3 linked regions of the Drosophila melanogaster genome follow. The protein of the gene in region 2 interacts with the protein of the main gene of each other region in a pairwise test. Each region holds a gene or a part of one and is shown on either strand. Other genes may lie near its edges.

What was found. Proteins that work in one complex are often made in the same cells at the same time.
Region 1: the proteins of E(spl)mdelta-HLH (region 2) and Cdc37 interact in binary tests that used the Drosophila melanogaster proteins (3 or more experiments, as listed by UniProt).
Region 3: the proteins of E(spl)mdelta-HLH (region 2) and CtBP interact in a two-hybrid assay, tested with the Drosophila melanogaster proteins (one study listed by BioGRID).

The regions. Positions count from the first base shown.
Region 1 is NT_037436.4:1,792,096-1,798,892, forward strand, and holds Cdc37 (cell division cycle 37), read left to right. Parts: upstream 1-3,296; 5' UTR 3,297-3,604; coding exon 3,605-3,637; intron 3,638-3,697; coding exon 3,698-3,901; intron 3,902-4,082; coding exon 4,083-4,742; intron 4,743-4,758; exon of another isoform or gene 4,759-4,806; coding exon 4,807-5,079; 3' UTR 5,080-5,212; downstream 5,213-6,797. Other genes in the region: dlt (discs lost), read right to left, coding at 1-1,320; CG12020 (uncharacterized protein), read left to right, coding at 5,270-6,254, 6,319-6,434. UniProt on the Drosophila melanogaster protein: Co-chaperone that binds to numerous kinases and promotes their interaction with the Hsp90 complex, resulting in stabilization and promotion of their activity. Required for cytokinesis and chromosome segregation in mitosis and male meiosis.
Region 2 is NT_033777.3:25,994,081-26,000,017, forward strand, and holds E(spl)mdelta-HLH (enhancer of split mdelta, helix-loop-helix), read left to right. Parts: upstream 1-3,540; 5' UTR 3,541-3,651; coding exon 3,652-4,173; 3' UTR 4,174-4,553; downstream 4,554-5,937. Other genes in the region: CG43116 (uncharacterized protein), read right to left, coding at 2,094-2,451, 2,673-2,812; E(spl)mgamma-HLH (enhancer of split mgamma, helix-loop-helix), read left to right, coding at 5,863-5,937. UniProt on the Drosophila melanogaster protein: Transcriptional repressor of genes that require a bHLH protein for their transcription. May serve as a transcriptional regulator of the Achaete-scute complex (AS-C) genes. Contributes to the neural-epidermal lineage decision during early neurogenesis.
Region 3 is NT_033777.3:13,008,250-13,015,733, forward strand, and holds the start of CtBP (C-terminal binding protein), read left to right. Parts: upstream 1-3,399; 5' UTR 3,400-3,499; exon of another isoform or gene 3,500-3,923; intron 3,924-7,484. Other genes in the region: CG8031 (uncharacterized protein), read right to left, coding at 435-897, 955-1,066, 1,133-1,245, 1,310-1,378, 1,440-1,521, 2,883-2,931; CG11656 (uncharacterized protein), read left to right, coding at 1,756-1,835, 1,915-2,710. UniProt on the Drosophila melanogaster protein: Corepressor targeting diverse transcription regulators. Hairy-interacting protein required for embryonic segmentation and hairy-mediated transcriptional repression.

The sequences.
Region 1 (6,797 bases), on a different chromosome or scaffold from region 2:
ATTCTGCTGGGAGGACGAAGAGGTGTCCATAGCGAAGGGTGTGGTCGAATCCTGCCTCCGCTGACAGTGAGTTTCCAATTCTTGGACAACTCCTTGCGGCAGCAGGCTCAATCTCTCGTTTTGTAGCAAGACACTCAAAGTCCGTTTGTCAAGCTGCAGAAGTAACTTTTTCTGATTCTCCAGCAGTTTTGCGGCAAAGTATACACAACTTTTGTGCTGGGTGAGTCCCTCCAAAGCACTGGGTACATACGATTTGACGGGTGATTGGCCAAAATCTCGCACATTTAGCAGATGGACCACAAAACTAAGTTCACGTAGTACGTTGGGCACCAAATTGAGGTCCATTAACAGGCTGTAAATGGTTGATAGGAGCTGCAAGTGATTGGCATTAGCCACACCCTCCAAGCTAATGGCTTCCTCAGGGAAAACCTCATCTTCGGGTGTCCTCTCCTGTTGACTAACATTCACAGGCGCTTCGCTTTTGATTTCCTGCTTTTTGAGCAACAGGAACTTGCGGGCCTCCATTTCCAGGGCTGCTTCTTGGCTTCTATCGAAGATTTCGCTGCTCTGCGAGATTCGCCAAAAGTTATTTTCATTGCTAAAGGAACTGGTGTCTCCGAAAGAGGAGCTGGCCGAAACATTCTTGCTAATGGTCATGGGTAAGACACGTCGCCGCGGCTTGGATTGTGGCGTGGCTCCAGCTCCAGTTCCTGAACCCAATGATGCATGTTGATTTTGCTGCTGTTTTTGGGGCGTGATCTTCTTCTTAGATCGCTGATGGCTCTGGATAGGTGTATTGACCAGAAAGTTGCCCAAGCAGATGCTGTGCCCTCCTCCTGCTCCCCCACCGCCGCTTCTGTTAGGCGTGCTGCAAAACTGGGCGCCACTTCCTGGCGTTGATCTTCTGCCCTGCGGCTGCTGGGGAGCCGGAGTAGTATTCGAAGTGGAGGACATACTGCAGCTGCTCCGGCTAAGGATCGAGGACTCATTGAGCTGCTGCTGTTCCTCCTCCTTGACCACATCGGCGACCGGCGGCTTGAGCTGATGGATGGGGGTCAAGGGAAACACGGGTGTCTCCGAGTTTTGCGAATAGTAGTACCTCTTTGTGCTTTGACGCAGTGCACCTAAAAAGTAGGTGGCGAAGTCCTCTAGTGTGCAGTTACTCTGGTTATCACCCTTGCCAACCTTTTTAAAATAGGCGACGAACTTTTGCTCCAGCTGGTGGTGCGGCACCTTCTCCAGTTGCGCAAGCAGCTGCAGCAGATGCCTCTCTTCCGGCTTCGTCATTTCTGTATCTGACGCTTTGAGCTCTGCAGTCATGTTCCGGTGATCTATTTTCTGTGCCTTAGCTCGAGCTATTTTCAACCTTTGGCCCTCCTCCAATCCCTCTCTCCCTTTTGTTTCCCTGCAACGGAAGAGGAGAGAAGGGAAATGTTGGCTCGGCTTTTGTGGGTTTCGTTTTCTAAGTTATTTTTAGAGTTGTTTGGATGGGTTGAAGTTGCAGGATTTTCTTTTTTTTCTGTATAAACAATATGTTTTCACACAATAAACTAAATCAACGTAAACGACACGTAAAATGCTACGAGTTGTGATGACTTCATCACCTGTACTAAAAGTTGTAATAAGGTTATAGTTAGGCGGGAAATTATGAGGAATATATTTGTAGGTCAGGTTTGGAAAAACGCACATGTATGCTAAACAAATTTGTAAAGGTATTAACCTTAACAATAAAAGAATAGTAGGTTTCTAAAAGTATCTAAATATTGCATCAACAATTTTTTGTTGTTAAAGTATAAATATTTTCTATGAATTCTTATAAGATATCATTTATTTTAATTTCCAAACTTAGTTGATAGCCCATAAAATCACATTTCTAATAGTTTCCAATTTTTAGTGCTAAAAAAAAAAAAAAAACAACTCAGATAAGAAAAGCAGAGAAATATCTGAAATTCTCAGCTACACTACACAGAAGGTAAAATAGTTAAGATTGGCCAAGAATGATTAATAGAGAAAAGCCAAGGAGTGAATTTTTGTCAATAGAGTAACATGAAATACAATTAGCACTAACGATAAGGAAATCCGTGGAATGTCCGGATTTTAATACTTAATACTTCAAAATCGCCCCTTTAGAAGGGGTCAGCAGAGCAAGCAATGACATCATTTAGGGGAGAGGGTGGGTCAGCATGCAGAGAAACAAACAAACAACACTCTTTGCCACAGGAAATTGAAATAAATCAGAGGGAGATGGCAACAGCCCAGGGCTTGGCAGCCATACAATGTTGGAGCTCACATACAAACACACAGGCAGGCCAATTTAACTGTTTATCGCGGTGGCAAACAAAAACAACATCAGAAACGGCAATTGCGAGAGATCGCACCTCAAAAAGAGAGCGAATAGAAAGAGACGGAGAGAGCGAAACATTAATTGAAGTGTCTATCAGAAAATAGCAGAGGATGACGTAATGCGTACGCTTTGGAATTATGAGCAATCAATGAAGAGGCACAAAAAATCAACTGGTACGCAAGACTACTACGAACACGGAATCGCCTGGCAAGCAAACAAAAATATCCTATGCAAACACAGGCCTTCAAGAAAGTCAAGGACACTTGCCCACCCAAAACTTTGGCATATGTAAGGCAAGCACTTTGCTTTTTTTTTATTCGTACTTAAATATCTTGGAAACACAAACAAGCAAAGAGAGGGAGAGTGTGCTCTCCCGCTTTCTCTCATCTGAAGTTGCCGCACCACCACCACCACCCGATGACGTACACACACACAGCGTTCTCTACTCCTGCGTAACCGCACACACACATGCACAACAGGAGCACCAGATACTTTTTCTTAAGTTGCAATTGGAGTCAAGAATTTTGAAAGAAATTCAAAATTTCTATTACTAATCAAGCAGTGACATTGCACAGCATAGCTTTTCAGTTATGGCCAAGACTTTTCTCTCACTTTAGCCCCGTTAATTGGATTTTTGTGTTGCCTTCGAGGGTGTGGCGTTGACCCGAAAAATTTTCACTTTGCACGCACACCGAATTTCAATTGCATTTTGAACCCAACTAACAGTGAGCTACGGACGAAAACTATGTAGAAACTTACACTTTGATGGCAATCTATTTGTTCACAGTTACTTTGTTAATTTAACTATTGATTTGCAGTAGTTATTCGTAATTTTCACGGAGCGCCTCTATTTCACGGGACCGCAGTTTTTTTCAATATGTCGGCCGATTGGCGCAGAACATTGACATCAATATCGCGATTTCTATCGATGTCAATCGATTATAAACATAGTTCTCTTTCTGGTCGCTTTGGCGCCTTAGTCATCTCATTATTTTTCTAGTAGATGTAGATGAGTAGTAGTAGATGATGTAAATAAATTAAAAACGACAGGGTATTTCAATTCAATCTGGTGCACTCATGCATGACTACTATTTCCTAGCGCGGCCCCAGAGTAAGCGGGGCTTATTATGGTATTATTCCGCAATAGCCCTGCGGTCACACTAATTTCCAGAGCAATCCAAAAAAAGGAAGCAGCCGAAAAAGAACAAAAACCTGCAGCATTTACATTCAAATATAAATCCGAAGCAAAGAAACAGCAAAATGGTGGACTACAGCAAGTGGAAGAACATCGAGGTGAGCCCACTGCTGGGTGCCAACCCAAAAAGTCCTCCTAATCGGCACACTACCTTTTAGATTTCGGATGATGAGGACGACACTCACCCAAACATAGACACGCCTTCTCTGTTCCGCTGGCGGCACCAGGCGCGCGTGGAGCGCATGGCGGAGATGGACCACGAGAAGGACGAGCTTAAGAAAAAGCGCCAGAGCTACCAGGCGCGCCTCATGGACGTCAAGGAGCGGATCTCAAAGAAGGATGGCGACGAGGAGGCCCTGAAGGTGGGTCATTGCACCGAATGCACTGCGCACTTGTTGCTTAGGCTAATGCCTGGTCTGGGAGTTCCCTATGTTCTCAATCCATCTAATTTATTCTTATTGTCAAGCTTATGATTGACTATCATCCTAAGTGGCCATCCATCTTTCATCGCAATGCTTAATCCCTAATTTGTATCGCCTACAGAAAGAGCTCGAAAAGATCGAGGCCGAGGGCAAAGAGCTGGACCGCATCGAGAGCGAGATGATTAAGAAGGAAAAGAAAACACCCTGGAACGTGGACACCATCAGCAAGCCCGGCTTTGAGAAGACCGTAATCAACAAGAAGGCCGGCCGCAAGCCGGATGAGAATCTGTCCGAGGAAGAGCGAGAGCAGCGCATGAAGCAATTCGTCAAGGAGAACGAGAAGCTCTGCCAGCAGTATGGCATGCTGCGCAAGTACGACGATTCGAAGCGGTTTCTGCAGGAGCATCTTCACTTGGTGGGCGAGGAGACGGCCAACTACCTAGTCATTTGGTCCATCAACCTGGAAATGGAGGAGAAGCACGAGCTGATGGCCCACGTGGCGCATCAGTGCATTTGCATGCAGTACATTCTAGAGTTGGCCAAACAGCTGGACGTGGATCCTCGCGCCTGTGTCAGCTCCTTCTTCTCAAAGATCCAGCACTGTCATCCCGAGTACCGCGCGCAGTTCGACAGCGAGATCGAAGGTTTCAAAGGACGTATCCAGAAGCGTGCGCAGGAGAAGATCCAGGAGGCGATAGCCCAGGCCGAAGAGGAGGAGCGCAAGGAGCGCCTCGGACCTGGTGGTCTGGACCCAGCCGATGTCTTTGAATCCCTGCCCGATGTACGTTCTAGTGATTCACTGTATGGGAATTACTTGACTAACTTTTCATGTATTTGCTCCGCAGGAACTAAAGGCCTGTTTCGAGTCCCGCGACGTAGAGCTGCTGCAGAAGACCATTGCGGCCATGCCCGTGGACGTCGCCAAGCTGCACATGAAGCGTTGTGTGGACTCTGGTCTCTGGGTGCCCAATGCCGCTGACTTGGAGGGTGACAAGAAGGAGGAAGATGACTCGGATGACGTCGCCGGTGGCGAGGAGAAGACCGACGATGCCAAATCAGAGAGTGCAGCCAAGGAGGAGCCCATCTACACTGGCGTCAGCACCGAGGACGTTGACTGATCGCCGCCACGTTTCCATCTACACCATAGCTCTAATCTTAATGTATTTGTCCACAAGCATATTTCATCCATAGCCAGATCCTGCGTCAGTTGAGTTATTGTATATAATTTGAATAAATTCTCAGTCACACGTCAAACATTCTGTGAACACTTCTGCCAGTTGTTATACGCTTCGACTCCGAATAGAAACAATGAACCGGCCGGAGCTGGACTACTACGCGGTGCTGGATCAGCCCAGAGGCGCCACCAAGGAGCAGATTACTCTGGCCTACCGCCGCCTGGCCATTCGGCTTTGCCCACATCGCGACAAGAAGGACGAGCAGGACTTTGTGCCGCTGGCCCAGGAGGGTCGTCTCACGCACCTCTCACCCATGGGCGAGCCCAGGCAGTGGGCCTACGTCAACATGGCCTTCGATGTGCTGGGCAACGATCTGTACCGGGCCATATACGATCGCTTTGGCGAGGCGGGTTTGTTCGAGGGCGTCATGCTGCCGAACGGATACTTTCCGCCCTATCAGTACGACGGCGACCACATGAAGGTCTACGAGCGGGTCTTCGGTAGCTACTCGCCGTATGCCAACGTGATCGATGCGATCTCCAATCCACCGAGCTTGTACGCTACGCGCCAGCATGGCATTGGCGTGCGTTCCAAGGACGCCAGTACGGAGAGGATCATCGAGCTGTCGCTGGAGGAAGTACGCACTGGCTGCGTCAAGCTGATGAACGTGTGGCGCCAGGAGATCGTGGACGCCAAGGAGTCGCGGCTGGAGAAGCGCAAGCACACCTTAAAGCTGAACATTGCCCCGGGAACTACGGCCGGAACTCGCTTCTGCTTCAAGGAGGAGGGCGATCGCTATCCGGCCACCATTCCGGGTGATATTATTTTCATTGCCGCCGACAAGCCGCATCCGGACTTTGAGAGGAGAAACCAACACGACCTGGTCTACAGGCAGTCTATTGGCCTGTGCCAGGCCTTCACCGGCTTCACGTTCTTCATTTGCACGCTGGACCGGCGCCAGTTGAAGGTGGTCATTACGGACGTAGTGCAGCCGGGATACACCAAAGTGGTTCCCCTCGAGGGACTCCCCAAGTGCCGCAATTTGGATGCAGTTACGGCCATCAAGGAGGCCAACAAGAAGGTGGAGCAGTTCGGGGATCTCATTATAGAATTTGATTGTGGGTTTTCCTTTTCTGTTGGAGGTTTCAATAGTTTCTGATAGTTTCTCTGTTTCTTCTGCAGATATCTTTCCCAAGTACTTGACTCCACATATGAAGCATATCACTCGCGAATTCTTCCGCGAATTCCGCAAGCTCGAAATAGAATTGGAGGAGGAGGAGGAACGTAACATGGTTTGATGGCAGACACCTTATTGTTTTTCCGTATTTGGAACACAGATATTTGTGCGTACAGAGAAATTAAATTCAAAATTTGCGTTTAAAAGGATAGATGTTGTTGGGTTATTTCGTATAGCCATATTACATACGAGCACATGCAGACTATATTCAAAAATCTTAGATTTAATTAAATTAGCAGATGTAACGGTCGAATTTGAATTGATTTTGAAAAGGTGGCAACTGTTCCGATTATGTCGATTGCTTATCGATGCACAACGCAGCCGCTCGGCAACCCTGTCCATCAGCTGTTTGTGAAAAGAAAATGCATTTGGCATTCCATTTCAGAGATAATTAAAAATCAATTACAGCAGCAGCAGCAGAGCA
Region 2 (5,937 bases):
TTGAGAATTATATTGATGATAAATCTGGTACCTTGAAGCATTTACAACATATTTTCGACATAATGTAGGTGAATTGAAAGCACCTTTTGTAGCGTAGAGTAGTGTTGTCATAAATATTTGTTGTTCAAAAATTAAAACACACAGTCAAAAAAAAAATAATTCACGATAGCTAAATTAAAACAAAGACCCAAAATATATTTCTGATAAATGCATGCCAAGAGTATATAAAACTAATGCAAGTTAAAATAGCTGAGAACCTTTAGTTATCGGTAGCTGCTAATTTAGCTAAAAACAATTACTAGGCACAGAAAATACATCAAGATTTTATATATTTTCATTGACAACTATATTTTATACGAGCCAATAGATAATTGAAGTAAGTCTAAGTAAATTGAATAATCTTCACTGCTTCTTTGCCCCAAATATCCTTTCGCCCCAATTTGTTCTTCCCTCGATATGTTTATGCAAGTTTTGTCTTACTTTCAGCTGCATGAATAACAACTACAAACCCGCGCACTAGACGTACCACACTTATCGCAAAAGTAATGCGTTTCCTAAATCTGCTTAAAAAGTGCTTTTAGAGAACGTGAAAACCCCCACAGAATGTCGTACAAAATCATAGAATATTTATATATATATGTATGTATGTATGTATAGAATGTCCAGAAGCGATGACCACTGAATGCGAAAGAAGGAAATGAACGCGTGTATTGATGTATGTAAACAGAATGTATATATTTGTATGTGTAGAAGGGAGTGGATCGAGGATACTATAAGCACCGTAGAAGAAGATATCGAATGGAAATATTTTTAAACGATTACCGATTGTACATTTTAATGCTTGCAACCCACAACTGCAACTAGGCACACCAAGTCCACCAGTTCCTCAAAGGATGACCGCGACCAGGCGAAACGGAGTTAACCATGAAAGCGATTAAAGGCAAAATCAAACGAAACGAATACAAGAACAAGAATAACTTAAAGCTTTAAGAAGACGGCATGTTGCACATGTCGTTTGCATTACTTTGTATTATAGATGAATCTCCCCGCAGCAAATGTATCTGATGGCATTTATTTTTTTTTTTTATTCTATATAATTTTACTTTTAAACCAAGTTCACCTCTCTCATTAGTCCTTACTAATTTATTTCATCAGCACATTTTCCAAGAAATTTCCGAAACACCAAAAACTAATCGATAATAAGCTTAAAACGACCCAGTCCGCTTTAAATATAATTTAGTTTTAAGCACAACAAAGATTTTAATCGAAATAGAAATGATAAGCGAAATGAATCGAACCAAAATAAAAACTTACGAACGTTACACATTTGTACCTCTTATTAAACAATAAACGAAGCAAATTAGTCCGTTACACTTACTTTCTAGCACATGGATTTTAAACTGTATTTGGCGTTATCCGCATTAAACAAGAACATTTTTTTAAACTAGATGCGCAAAAATGGAACTGGATTCTATACATTATTATTAATCTAAATGTATATGTGTGTGTTGCTATATGTGTATTAAACGAATATGTATCTTTGTAAATTACAGCCACTTGAAGATATTTATGAAATGTTAATGTCCCAAATTTATCAATGTACAACAATATCGAACAAATGAATATACTTTCAATTAAAATGTTTATTGAGTATCGGAACGATTCTTTTATTGGGAAAGATTAAAATTCGGAACGATTCTTAATTTTTGTTTTATGATCCTTGATCCTCCTCTTCTACTTTCAAAAGTAGGATGATTCATCATTGTCAACAGATTGAAATCTCTCTCTTAAAATCTTTCCCTCATGGAAATTGGCGCAATTGAAATCCCTGTTTTTGCATATGGCTGTCTTCCTTAAGTCGTCCCAATACCCATATCAAAACATTGCCACTCTGATGATCTCAGAAACCTCCCCCACGAAGAAAACTGGAAACGAAATGTACGAAATCAGTGCCATCAGATGTCAGCAAATGTCGCCGGTGCCTTGCTGCACTGTTTGTTAACTTCTCGATTTCATGGCTGCGATTGCAGCGACCCCTGGTCTTGGATTTGAACTGGAACTCACCCTCGGGCAGGTGGATTTCGTCAATGGCCCTATCCCCGAATACCCAATCTCGCAAAATGCGCCAAACAAGTGTCACAGCTGACCGAGGCCGAGGAACCGGGCAACCGGCAGCAGAAGTGCGGCACAATCCCAATACTTGTGGGAATGTCTCCAGTACACTTTCTCACGATGCACATGCACCGACCGACCCATCGCAGCACCGGCTGTTTGCCGCTTGCCTGGGTGGTGCTATGCTGCCGTCCCGTTGGTGGTGGTGGTTGTTGCGGTGGTTGCTGCTGCTGCTTCTGCTGCTGATGATGGTGCTCCGTGCCCGTAAGTGTAACGCAATGTCGCGCCAAAGAGGAAATGAGGTCTGTGTGACTGTGCGCCAAAAGGGAAGAGGCCACACTGCAAGAAAATTCGAACTCTAAACTAGCAACTTATAAAGATGGCTTATAAAGACTTCGGGATTGCATTGCTTTTAAAGCAAAGTAATGCAAATTATAGTTTAGTTACAGAATTTAATATATTATTTATGCACATTTTGCATATTTCTGAATATTATATTTCAGTTTACAAAACAACATTTTTTCCAGTGCACCTGCACGCATACAAGCAGAAACCCACACCCATATGCAACAATGGCATTGCCTCGACAAGATTGGCTCTTTGGCTTAAGTGAGGACGGCACGCATGGGGCTCGGCTCTCTTTTCTCGAGGGAAGTGGGAACCAGGGAGCACGGATGGCTGCCAGGCAGGTCGAGGTCATGTCGCTGCTGATGTCGTGTGTGCGTGTGGTGCGCTGCTGGTGGTGGTGGTTGATTGCTCCGACTCTTTCCTCCTGCTCTTCCTCGGAGACCCTTCTTCAGACTGTTGCGCCGGCGCACGGCAACAGCACGAGGAAGAGAGACGCCCGAAGAGAGCGCGCTACTAGCTCGGGCGAAGATCCGAAGAACGTGTTATTGGACCCTAGTCAATACACTGAAAATAACTTTAAGGCATTCTACTATTATGACCAAGGTTAAAGAAGCTTTGATTAAAAATAAATTAATTTCTAAATATATAAAAGTTTCTAAAGTACAATAAAACTATTTTTTCTTTGTTTATACTTATCGTTGTAAGATACTTTAGATGCATGAGAAACTTTGGTTTCCAGAATGGACATCCAAAGAGTATGCTTCGAAACTTGTATATTTTAAAAGTAGTTTATATAAAGTATAGATTTTAAAAATTGTTCTCTGCCACATATGGATTGTTTTCAGTGCAAGAAGAGAGCCTCAGCGGCTTCCGCCCGATCCAATTTTTTTGATGTTGCACACGTGCAACGCCGAGGGAATCTTGCCACAAGCAGAGAGTGACCCGATTGATGCTTCGTTGTGATCGTCGGCGTGTAGGAGCGTTGTGATCGCAGTGCGTGGTGGCAGTTAGGGGAGGATTTCGATTTCGCAAGTGTACGGCACCAGCAGCTACAAAAAGGATCAGCTTACCTTGCGGCAAGATCATTTCTCAAGTGACTACCGTGCAGTGCGGAGCGGCAGCAGCGACATCGCAACATCGCAACTTTATTTACAAACAATCACCACACCAAATCAAAACCCATTATACACAATGGCCGTTCAGGGTCAGAGATTTATGACCAAGACTCAGCATTACCGCAAGGTGACCAAACCCCTCCTGGAGCGCAAAAGACGCGCCCGGATGAACCTGTATCTGGACGAACTCAAGGATCTCATCGTGGACACCATGGATGCGCAGGGCGAACAGGTCAGCAAGCTGGAGAAAGCTGACATCTTAGAGCTCACCGTCAACTATCTGAAAGCGCAACAGCAGCAGCGAGTGGCCAATCCTCAATCCCCACCACCCGACCAAGTTAACCTGGACAAATTTCGGGCCGGATACACCCAGGCTGCCTACGAGGTCTCGCACATATTCTCTACGGTTCCCGGCTTGGATCTCAAATTCGGCACCCACCTGATGAAGCAATTGGGTCACCAGCTCAAGGACATGAAACAGGAAGAAGAAATCATCGATATGGCCGAAGAACCAGTTAATCTAGCCGACCAAAAACGTTCAAAGTCTCCGCGAGAAGAGGATATTCATCATGGCGAAGAAGTCTGGCGCCCCTGGTGAAGGGCATTCCATATATACGCAACCAATTAACATTGATAGCTTTACTACTCAGTTTCATTAAGAAACAATCCAAGTTTTCCAAGGTCTAGTGTAAACATTTGCCTCAGAATCGTATTTAGTTGGTAGTTGATTTGATATGATGTGATGTTCCTGTGATAGTTCTTAAGTTCGTATTTTGTATTTGATCTCCCATAGGCTTACTGATTCATGTATTTAATTCATTGTAATTTATTTCATCAACTTTGCAAGAGCTTCCCCACCGAGCTTCCACTTAGCCTCATTAAGAACAAATTTTTGTGTATGTTTTAAAATTATATTTTTCGCTTTACACCATTAAGTATAAGCCATGAACATTTGAATAATAAAATGAACGTAAACTGAAATTTTAAAAGCTTTATATTATTTGGAATATGAACATAAACAAGGTTGCTATAATCCATAGGTACATAGGTACAAAATGTTATAATATATATAATTATTATATTATAATTATAATTTATAAGCTCTTATTTAGCTTTCTTCGATATAAAAGATATATCAGATATATTTAAATATATTTCTAAAATCTAATTTGAAATATATAGAAAATATATATTTTCCTTGGAATTTTAATAATTTATAATTCTAAATACCAAATACCGTTATACTGTCCACTTGAATTCAAGTCAATTGAACTCTCCCCACTCCGTTTACAAATCCCTGTAATGCACCACCCATCCAACCATCCATCCATTACAAAGGTCCTGGAACGCGAGCAACTTACAGCCGAAAGTGTGTCCACAGCGAGCCACACGCGAGCAGCGCTCCAGGATCAGCATCGCTGGCCCCTTTTACATGGCGGATGGAGGGAGAGGCAGAGGTCCTGCCGGGTCGGGGGGATCGGGAAGTCGTACACGCATTAAGCGCACTCGACGCACACGAGCAATGTTCCCACAGGATCATAACAGCCGACCAACAAGTGCAGGATGCCTCTGTCCTTGTCCCTTCCTCTGCCACCAAACACGAACCCGATCCAATTTGGAATGCCAACGGTAAACAGGAAGTTGTCGAGGAATCGCAACGCCTCGTCCTTATCCTTATCCCCATCCCCCGGCGGAGGTCCCCGCTATCGTGGGAACCCCGGAGGACCCCGATGAGATGGCATAATGCAAGCAGTTCATTATCCTTATGCCCCTCACCCTGCCATGCCATAGTCAAATCATAACACACAAATCTAGAAACGGCAGCTGTTCGCTCTGCAAATTCCCATGCCCATGGCCGTGGCCATGCTCGGCTGCTTTTTGCGGGCAGGTGAGCGAGTCGATGTGAGAAACCGAGTAGGAAAGTGTTTCCCACGATCCTGGCAGCGATCCTGCTCCCTGGCCCGTTTGATAAGGGTGCCGGGGCCAACAATAAGAAATCGCCCGAACAATAAGGAGCGGTCTCAAGAAGCGGAAGGGTCGGTACCGAGCAACCCTCATGCCAGCACACGAAGCGTGTCCCCGTCCCTTTTGCTCCTCGAATGCCAGCACACACGACGACGACGACGATCCCTTTGGCCCATTTTTTGGGGGTTGTTTCTGGCCAGCTATATAAGGCCGATCACCGAAGGTCTAGCAACACACAACGACTTCGACTGTCGGAGCAGCAAGAGCTCAAAGAACTCAGCTTACATCGAAACTACAAAAAGAACAATAAGAAACACACAAAATGTCGTCGCTACAAATGTCCGAGATGTCCAAGACCTATCAGTACCGCAAGGTGATGAAGCCCATGCTGGAGAGG
Region 3 (7,484 bases), about 13 Mb from region 2:
GAAAAGCAGAAAGAAAAAAAAAAAAACGAAACATAAAAATTCAAAAAACCGAAAACGCATCCAAGAAATCATTCAAAATGACTTAGGAGTCAATTTCAATGTTTCAACAAAAAAGAGAAAAATAAAGAAAAATTAACTCAAATGGAAGTTCACATATCCTGCGATTGTGTGTTTTTATTCAATTCCCCTTAAATTAACTAAATCTATGCTAATAATCAAAGCTAAATTATCAAAATGAGCTTTATTTCTCCTTGCGATTTTAATTGTTAATTGTATTTTGTTATAATTGATAAAACAATGCCGACTAAATTGAAACTGGTTGGGGATTTTGGATTTATTGTTAAATTTTCAATTTGATGCTAGTAAATATAAAAACGTTACGCTTAAATAGCAAGAATTAGTTGCCGTCGAGTGGCTAAAATACTTGAGTGCTTTCACATCTCGAAGACGAGCGATCCGGAGGCGTAGCTAACGCTGGAGTCCTCAATGTCCTGACACTGGCTGCTCTGGGCGTACTTGAGGAACTTGAAACTCATCTTGTCGTAGCCCTGATCCTGCAGTGCCTTCACGGCGCCTAGCATTACTCCGATGGGATGGCGTCCGCATATCGTATTGTTGTACTTGCGCAAGTACTCGGTGAAGGAGTGCGGATTGAGCGACTCAATGATGTCCATGCCCTGCTTGTCCAGCTTCTCGATGGACTTGTGAATCGCTCCGCAGGAGCTGTCATAGTAGGTATAGCTGAAGCGATGGCCCCAGTGGCAAAAGTCGGAAGATATCACAAACAGATTGGTGGGGTCCATCAGATACGAGGACAGCAGGCTGCCGTACTGCGCCTCCTGTTCGGGATTGAGCGAACCCACCAGAATAGGCACAATGGTGAACTGATCCTTGTAGCTGCAGCAGTGCTATTACTTAGTAAAACGCCTCGAGCATATATTCAAATCCACTTACTCCTCCATCACTTTGGCAATGTAGGGTAAATGCATCTCGATGGAGTGTTCATCCTCGTCAGTCTTCATGTCCATCCAAGAAAACTTTCCAGTCTTCTCAAGCTCAGAGTTGACTAAATATAAATAATAAATGAAATCAATAAAACATGCAATGCACCTTGTATTTGCAATCGACATACTCTGAGCATCAATTTTGAGATCATAGAGGGGTGTCCTGTACTTCTTCGCCACGGATAAGGCGCAGCCACGCAGACGCACATGATGCGAGGGACCCAGTATGAAGATTCGCTTGCTGCAAGCAAAGGTTCAATAAAACCGGATTGTCTTCGCGGAAATCTCGAATGTGAACTTCTTACACGACAACTGGGCTAACTTGGCGATAGGCAAAGGCAGCGCAGGCTCCACAGTACGTATATCCAGCATGTCTGTGGAATATCAATCAGTAAGTTCAATGGTGCTTATTGCAAGAATTCGGTTAAATCTTACGGAGCAATGATGGCACGAGCCGGTCCATGGGACAAATCTGCGGCACCCAGCCAACGATCCAACTGTCTCGAGAGCTCGGCGCCTGAAAAGCAAAGTAAATACATTTATTAACGAATAAATAATATCGTAAACCATAATTCCCTGCTCAGGAATTGGTTTCAGTTTCGAAATCAACGAAAATAGTTGGCCAGTCGTTGCCTAGCAGCAAACAAACAAATATTTCCTGGTTTATAAGACTTTCACTAAATCGAGACTTATCACAGCAGCGATATAAAGTTATTAAATATTGATTTAAATTTTAGTTGAACATTCCGCGATGGAAACTGATAAGGAAAAACAAAGCGATGAGCTCATGAATCGCATTCGGAACGAGCTTACAGCTATATTATCTCAAGAGTAAGTTATCAAGTTACCCAATATATATATATATATATAAAAGAAGAAAAAAATCAATCCATTTATAATCCTACAACAGGGCTGCTGATGATTCCGACAAGGAGGCGTCACAGGAACTGCTCCTGAGTCCCAATCCGCTGCCCATTTTCGGGCCCATAAGGAAAACAAGGAAAGCAAAATCGAGGAGTTCCAAGAAGAACAATAGTAAGGCCTCCTCCTCGTCCGCTGGCAGTACAAAGAGTTCGTCGTCGGGTACCAGATCATCTGAAGATCGTTTAACTGGAGGTGGAGCCCAGGAGAAGCCATCGGATCCGGTCTCCACATCCTCGAGCTATTCGCTAAGATCAGGATATGACGCTCCGCCCGTGGAGGCCAGTGCCCGTGCCGACTTCCTTGAATCGCAAGCGGCCAAAAGCATCGACGAAGATGTCCGGAAGATGCAGCTGGAGCTCAAGCAGAGCTACGAACTCTTCCAGGGCATTGGCGAGAAATTGGAGTCGGTTAGCTTCACGGGCTTGAAGGACCGCATACGGGACCTGCACCTAAACGAATCCAACAACGAGTTGGGCAAAGCGACGACTGCAGAGCTTCAGATGATGTTCGACCAGCGTTTCCTGCAAAATCGCCTGGACAAGCTATCCACGGACGCCACGCAGGGATTCCGTCGGCATCCCGGCGAATTCGGCGACATACCCGAGCTGAGCACCTTCTTCCAGGCATGCACTCAGTTGGAACGCGGACTGGATGCACTGCGTCAGCAGCGGCGGCGCAACAGCGAGCTGGAGAAGCGTCTGTGCTGGGCCACCGAAATCGCATACGATCGCATGGACGAGATTCGCAATGCGGTTGGCTCGGATCCGGAAAAGAACTTCTGAATTGGTGACCTGTAGTTACATTTTTGGTTCACCCTAAGGTTCATTACCCGCACACAAACACACACACAGGCAAACACGCACAGGTGCAATACATATGCGTTTATCCCACACCCATAGGCGATGCAATAATTGATTGTGTTATCTTCTGGGCCGCAGCTGGGTTGTTACTCACCCGAGTCCGTGTACCAGCTGCCTGCATGGGTTGCTCTTCTGGCCGACATTTTGTGCGAGATCCCTAATCGGTCTGTTTAGTTAGTAAGAGCTATTAACTGGCCGTTACTTGTAGAAAAAACGAGTTCTTTGTTATTGGTACAGCAGTGTGACCGTCGTCTTGTTTTTGAAATAAACACGTTCTCTGGATTCGCTGATCAGCGGTCACACTTCTTCAGGGCTGCATTAAGTACTTAAATATCGTTTTTTTTTTGGTATAATCATATATACCATTAATACTTTTTTATTATTCTAAATAATAAATCACACAAATAAAATACAATACATAAGGTAACGTAATTTTATTTAAGTGTTGTTTTTTATTAATTTCCATAAATGAAATCGCATAACATATACAACTGAAACTCACGGAAGTCGAAAGTCGGAATTCTGCAATACCAACATTTCAAACTATACCATAATTCTTGCAGTTTGCCTGCGCGCACCGAGGTATTTTCGAACGACCCGTGTGCGGTCACACTGTTCGCATAGCGTCATTGCTGTACTAAAACCTAAAAATCCGCCGTGTTCGTATTCCGCCATTTTGAAAGCTGCGAGTGGAATTTGGACGCGTTGCTGGTAAATTAATTGTGGGAAAACTGCCCAAAAAGTGCATAAAATTTGTGAAAAGTGGTCGGCAACGGTGCATGAGACCCGCCGCCAAGTGTTTGTCCCCGAAAATTGTGTGTGGCCGCGTTTTTGGCACGTGAATTTCTTGCCCAATTGTGAACTCGCAAAAAAAGAAAAAGAAAAGAGAGAAGAAAACCGACGCCGCCGTCGCCGCCGCCACAAAGGAATAGGCGAATAAGCGAGAGAAAAAAAGGCGAAAACGAGAGCTGAAAATCAAATTGTGCGCCGCTGATTGCGTTTCAGCTATTTAATAATACCACAATCGAAAATCCGCGGCAGCGGCGATTTTTCCACGGATTACTACACCATATATTTCCCATTTGCCTTTCCGTTTGCAACGAGTGTGCGCCTGTGCCTGTGTGCGTGCGTGTGTGTGAGTGTGCGATAAACGTGTACAAGAAAAATTTAAACGTGCAGAATTCTGATGAATTTTAAAGCGGAACTGCTATTGCCTGTATAGGTGATGCGGGTGTGCGTGTGTGGGTACGCACACACACATGACCAAGTATTGTTGCGGTTTAATGCAAAAGTCGAGTGAGTGCGTGTGTGAGTGAGTGAGAGAGAGAGAGAGAGAGCAATGCCTGCCATATTCTATGCAAAACATAAATAAAATTGTGCAATAATTTCCCCGCACACGCACACAGCCACAGATACATACACTCTCTTTGTAATTTATATTTTTTTCCGCCCGCCTAGTGACAATACACACGCAAGGTTCACTGCGCAACGTCCCCCTTTTCTCAAGCACCCCCCTTTTGCCCACGCCACTGCAACATGCTGTCTCATCGTTGTTGTTTTGCCGCCGCCACATTTGGTGCGACAGAGAGAGAAAGAGCGAGCTAGCGCGAGTGCAAGAGAAAGGGTGGGAGGGAGAGGCCAAAAGCAACGAGTTTGAAAACCAACTAAAGCCTCATGTTGACACATTTCAACCGGGAGTTTTCGTTCTTTCGCTCGGATTAAAAGCCTTTAAAGGGTGAAAGTGCTGCTTATCGTTTCTTCTTCGCGAACTAAAGCTTTAAAAGTATAAATAGCTTTTATTTCCTGCGCCCGCATATTGATTGCAAATTACAAGCGCACACACTTACTCAACAACCGTTGCGATTGTTTGTTTGTGTGTGTTTATGCCGATTTGAATACACAACCAAGTGAAAAAGTTTGATCAACTTACGAATGTCCATTCAAATTGATGCTTGTTTCTAGTTTTCTTACAATTTTTGCGCTTGTCGTGTTTTTGTCATAGCTTCTTCTATCTCTATCGCTCTCTCTCTTCTCTCTTGTTCGTTCGCCCTTTCACTGTTCGACGTGCCTGTACCCATCACACACATACAAACGTATACGTCATACACACACACACACGCACACATGAAGAGGCAGACAGACAAGCAACTCTGGGCTCCCCCCTCCCTAAACCTCTCCCCTCCCAGCCACATACTGCCGCACTTGCAACGGGAATGTTGTTGGTATTGCTCGCAGTGCTCAAAACTCCGAAGAGGATTACAAATGGTGTTTTTGTTTTTGCCCAAAAACGGAAATACAGACAAACTTCTGCCACATAAAGAGTTCAAATTATAGCGACTGTTAGTTGTTTAGTCATTTGTTGTATTCCCCGCAACTTTTTGCGCACTTTTGGGGTATCTAGACTGATTACAAACCCTTAAAAGCAGCAGGCACAATTGAAATTATTGATTGCCTTAAAGTTAAAGTTAATTGCGGTTATGAAATTTTTGGCTAATTGTTCGTCATTGGGCAAAAATGAAATGCTGAGGAATTTGCTTTATAAAAACACTTAAATTTATAGTTATTAGCCACTGAATTTGTATTGCAGTCGTTAAGAATTCTTCCTACCCAATGTAGTTTTCGCTATAGAATAAATAGAAATATGGAAATATGTGGCAGAGAGAGCCGCTTTTCCCGTTTCCACTTCAATATTTGCATTGCCATGGAATTTTCTATATATATAGTCCATCGATAACTGTACATGTTGCTGAATTTGTTGTTACTAGTTTTTTTGGCGCAACAACGTTTTCCGCTTCTTGTCACTGCCCTTTTTTGGCAAATAATAAATTTGATTGTGTATGGGCTGCCCACTCCCACTAGCTAACGGTTATTTATTGTCAATGCCAGGCGATGCCGCCCACTGCCACGCCTCGTACGACCCCCCCCCCCAATCCGTTTGATGCTCTGTGTTTTTGCGCAATGTTTGTTGTTGTGTGTTTGCCGCCGACTGCGCGCGTGAAAAAATGCACACCTGCCCAAAGAATTTCACACTTGGTGGTGCACGGGGCGCAAAACAAAGCGAAAGCAGCCACCAAAATAGCAGGCAAACGTTTAAATTTAAACACAAAAGTCCGAGGAACTAAAATTCGACCAGAAACACAATGGCAGCCATGTGTGCCTCATATTCTTGTATTTTTTTTCTGCGCTCTATCTCTATCGATCTGAAAGGCAAATACAACGCAATTCGGTTGATGGTACAGGCTCTAATACCCTTAAAGCTAAATTGTCCAAGTTATAAATTTGTTGAAAATGAATGATAGTTTACAAATTCGGATGTCTTTCATCTATTCAGCGGTGGAAAGATGTATTTTGGCCAGCTAATCGTTGCATGTTTGATGGCAAACCTTTCGCCATATCTGCTATACTCCTGCGCAAGCACTTTTCAAATGAAAACAGAAAACACACACTTTCAGATGGCTCAGCCAAATTCGTCCAAAACAACAGATGCAGCGATATGGCAACAATAATAAATAGAAATAGCCAAGCAGCCGCAAAACGCAGAATCAGCAATTCGTAAGCGTGCGAGGCAATAATATATACATATATATATATATATAAATTGTATTTCATTTGATTTTTTCCCACTTCTGGTCACTTGCCACTCGGCTATGCTGGCTTGCAGTTTTTCGATTTGCGTCATTCGCAGACCGCGCGCACCACCAATCAATATTATAAAAAAAAAAAACAACAACAACAACAACAAAAAACGAAACAAGACAACAAAAACCAAAAAACAAGTGGGAAATACGAGAAAAGGCGAGGGAAAACAATGGGAAAGCAACGCAGAATGGCACCTACATGCATACATACTACATACATAGACAAATGAAAACATTGGCCAATGTCAGGCAAACAGTTTAAGTGCTTTCGTTTGGTAGTACAGTAAATACCATGGCTAAATTATTGCTGAAGGTCCGAACTCGTTCGTAATCGCGTTATCTGCACTTTTCCAACCGCGAAAACCGAATATCAGCGAAAATGGCCAATTCGGAAATTTACCCAGTTAATGCGGTGTGTTTATATACTTGTAGGTGGAATAATCTGGCTAAAACAATCTCAAATTTAAATTGGAAGGAATTTGGAAAACGCAATGCTCTGATTTTCTATTGAAAAATGGTTTGACTTTTTATAGCTTATTGGCAAAAAATGTATTTAACATTTAGATATTTTCGCAATTCAACGATTTCTGGTTTGAATTTCTTACATTTTCCATGTTCTATTTTCATTTCTACACTCCCATCTATAAATTCTATAAATTCACTTATGGCATTGCGGGCAACTGATTTATGATGTAAGAGTATGAATACCCATACCCACAACTTTCGCCGGCTTGAAAAATCGCATTTGCGAGTGCCGAAATATTGTGGCATTAATATCGCGCTTAATGTGAATGGCCATCACTTTAGTTACTGCGAGCCACGAGGCTTTTGGCGTCATCTTGAAAGCCGGCTTTAAGTGCATATGCATGAAACAGAAAGCTGAAATGGTTAGCCAGCGTGGTGTGGAGGGGACGGGGGCTGCTGGCAGGAAAAGCGCGGGAACGCAACGTCACGACAAAACGGCAGCAGCCGTTAATTCAGGCAAAAGTACAAAGAAAAGGGAGCGGGTGGGGTAAACAAGTTACGAGCACCGACGACGACTGACTTAAAGTTGAAAA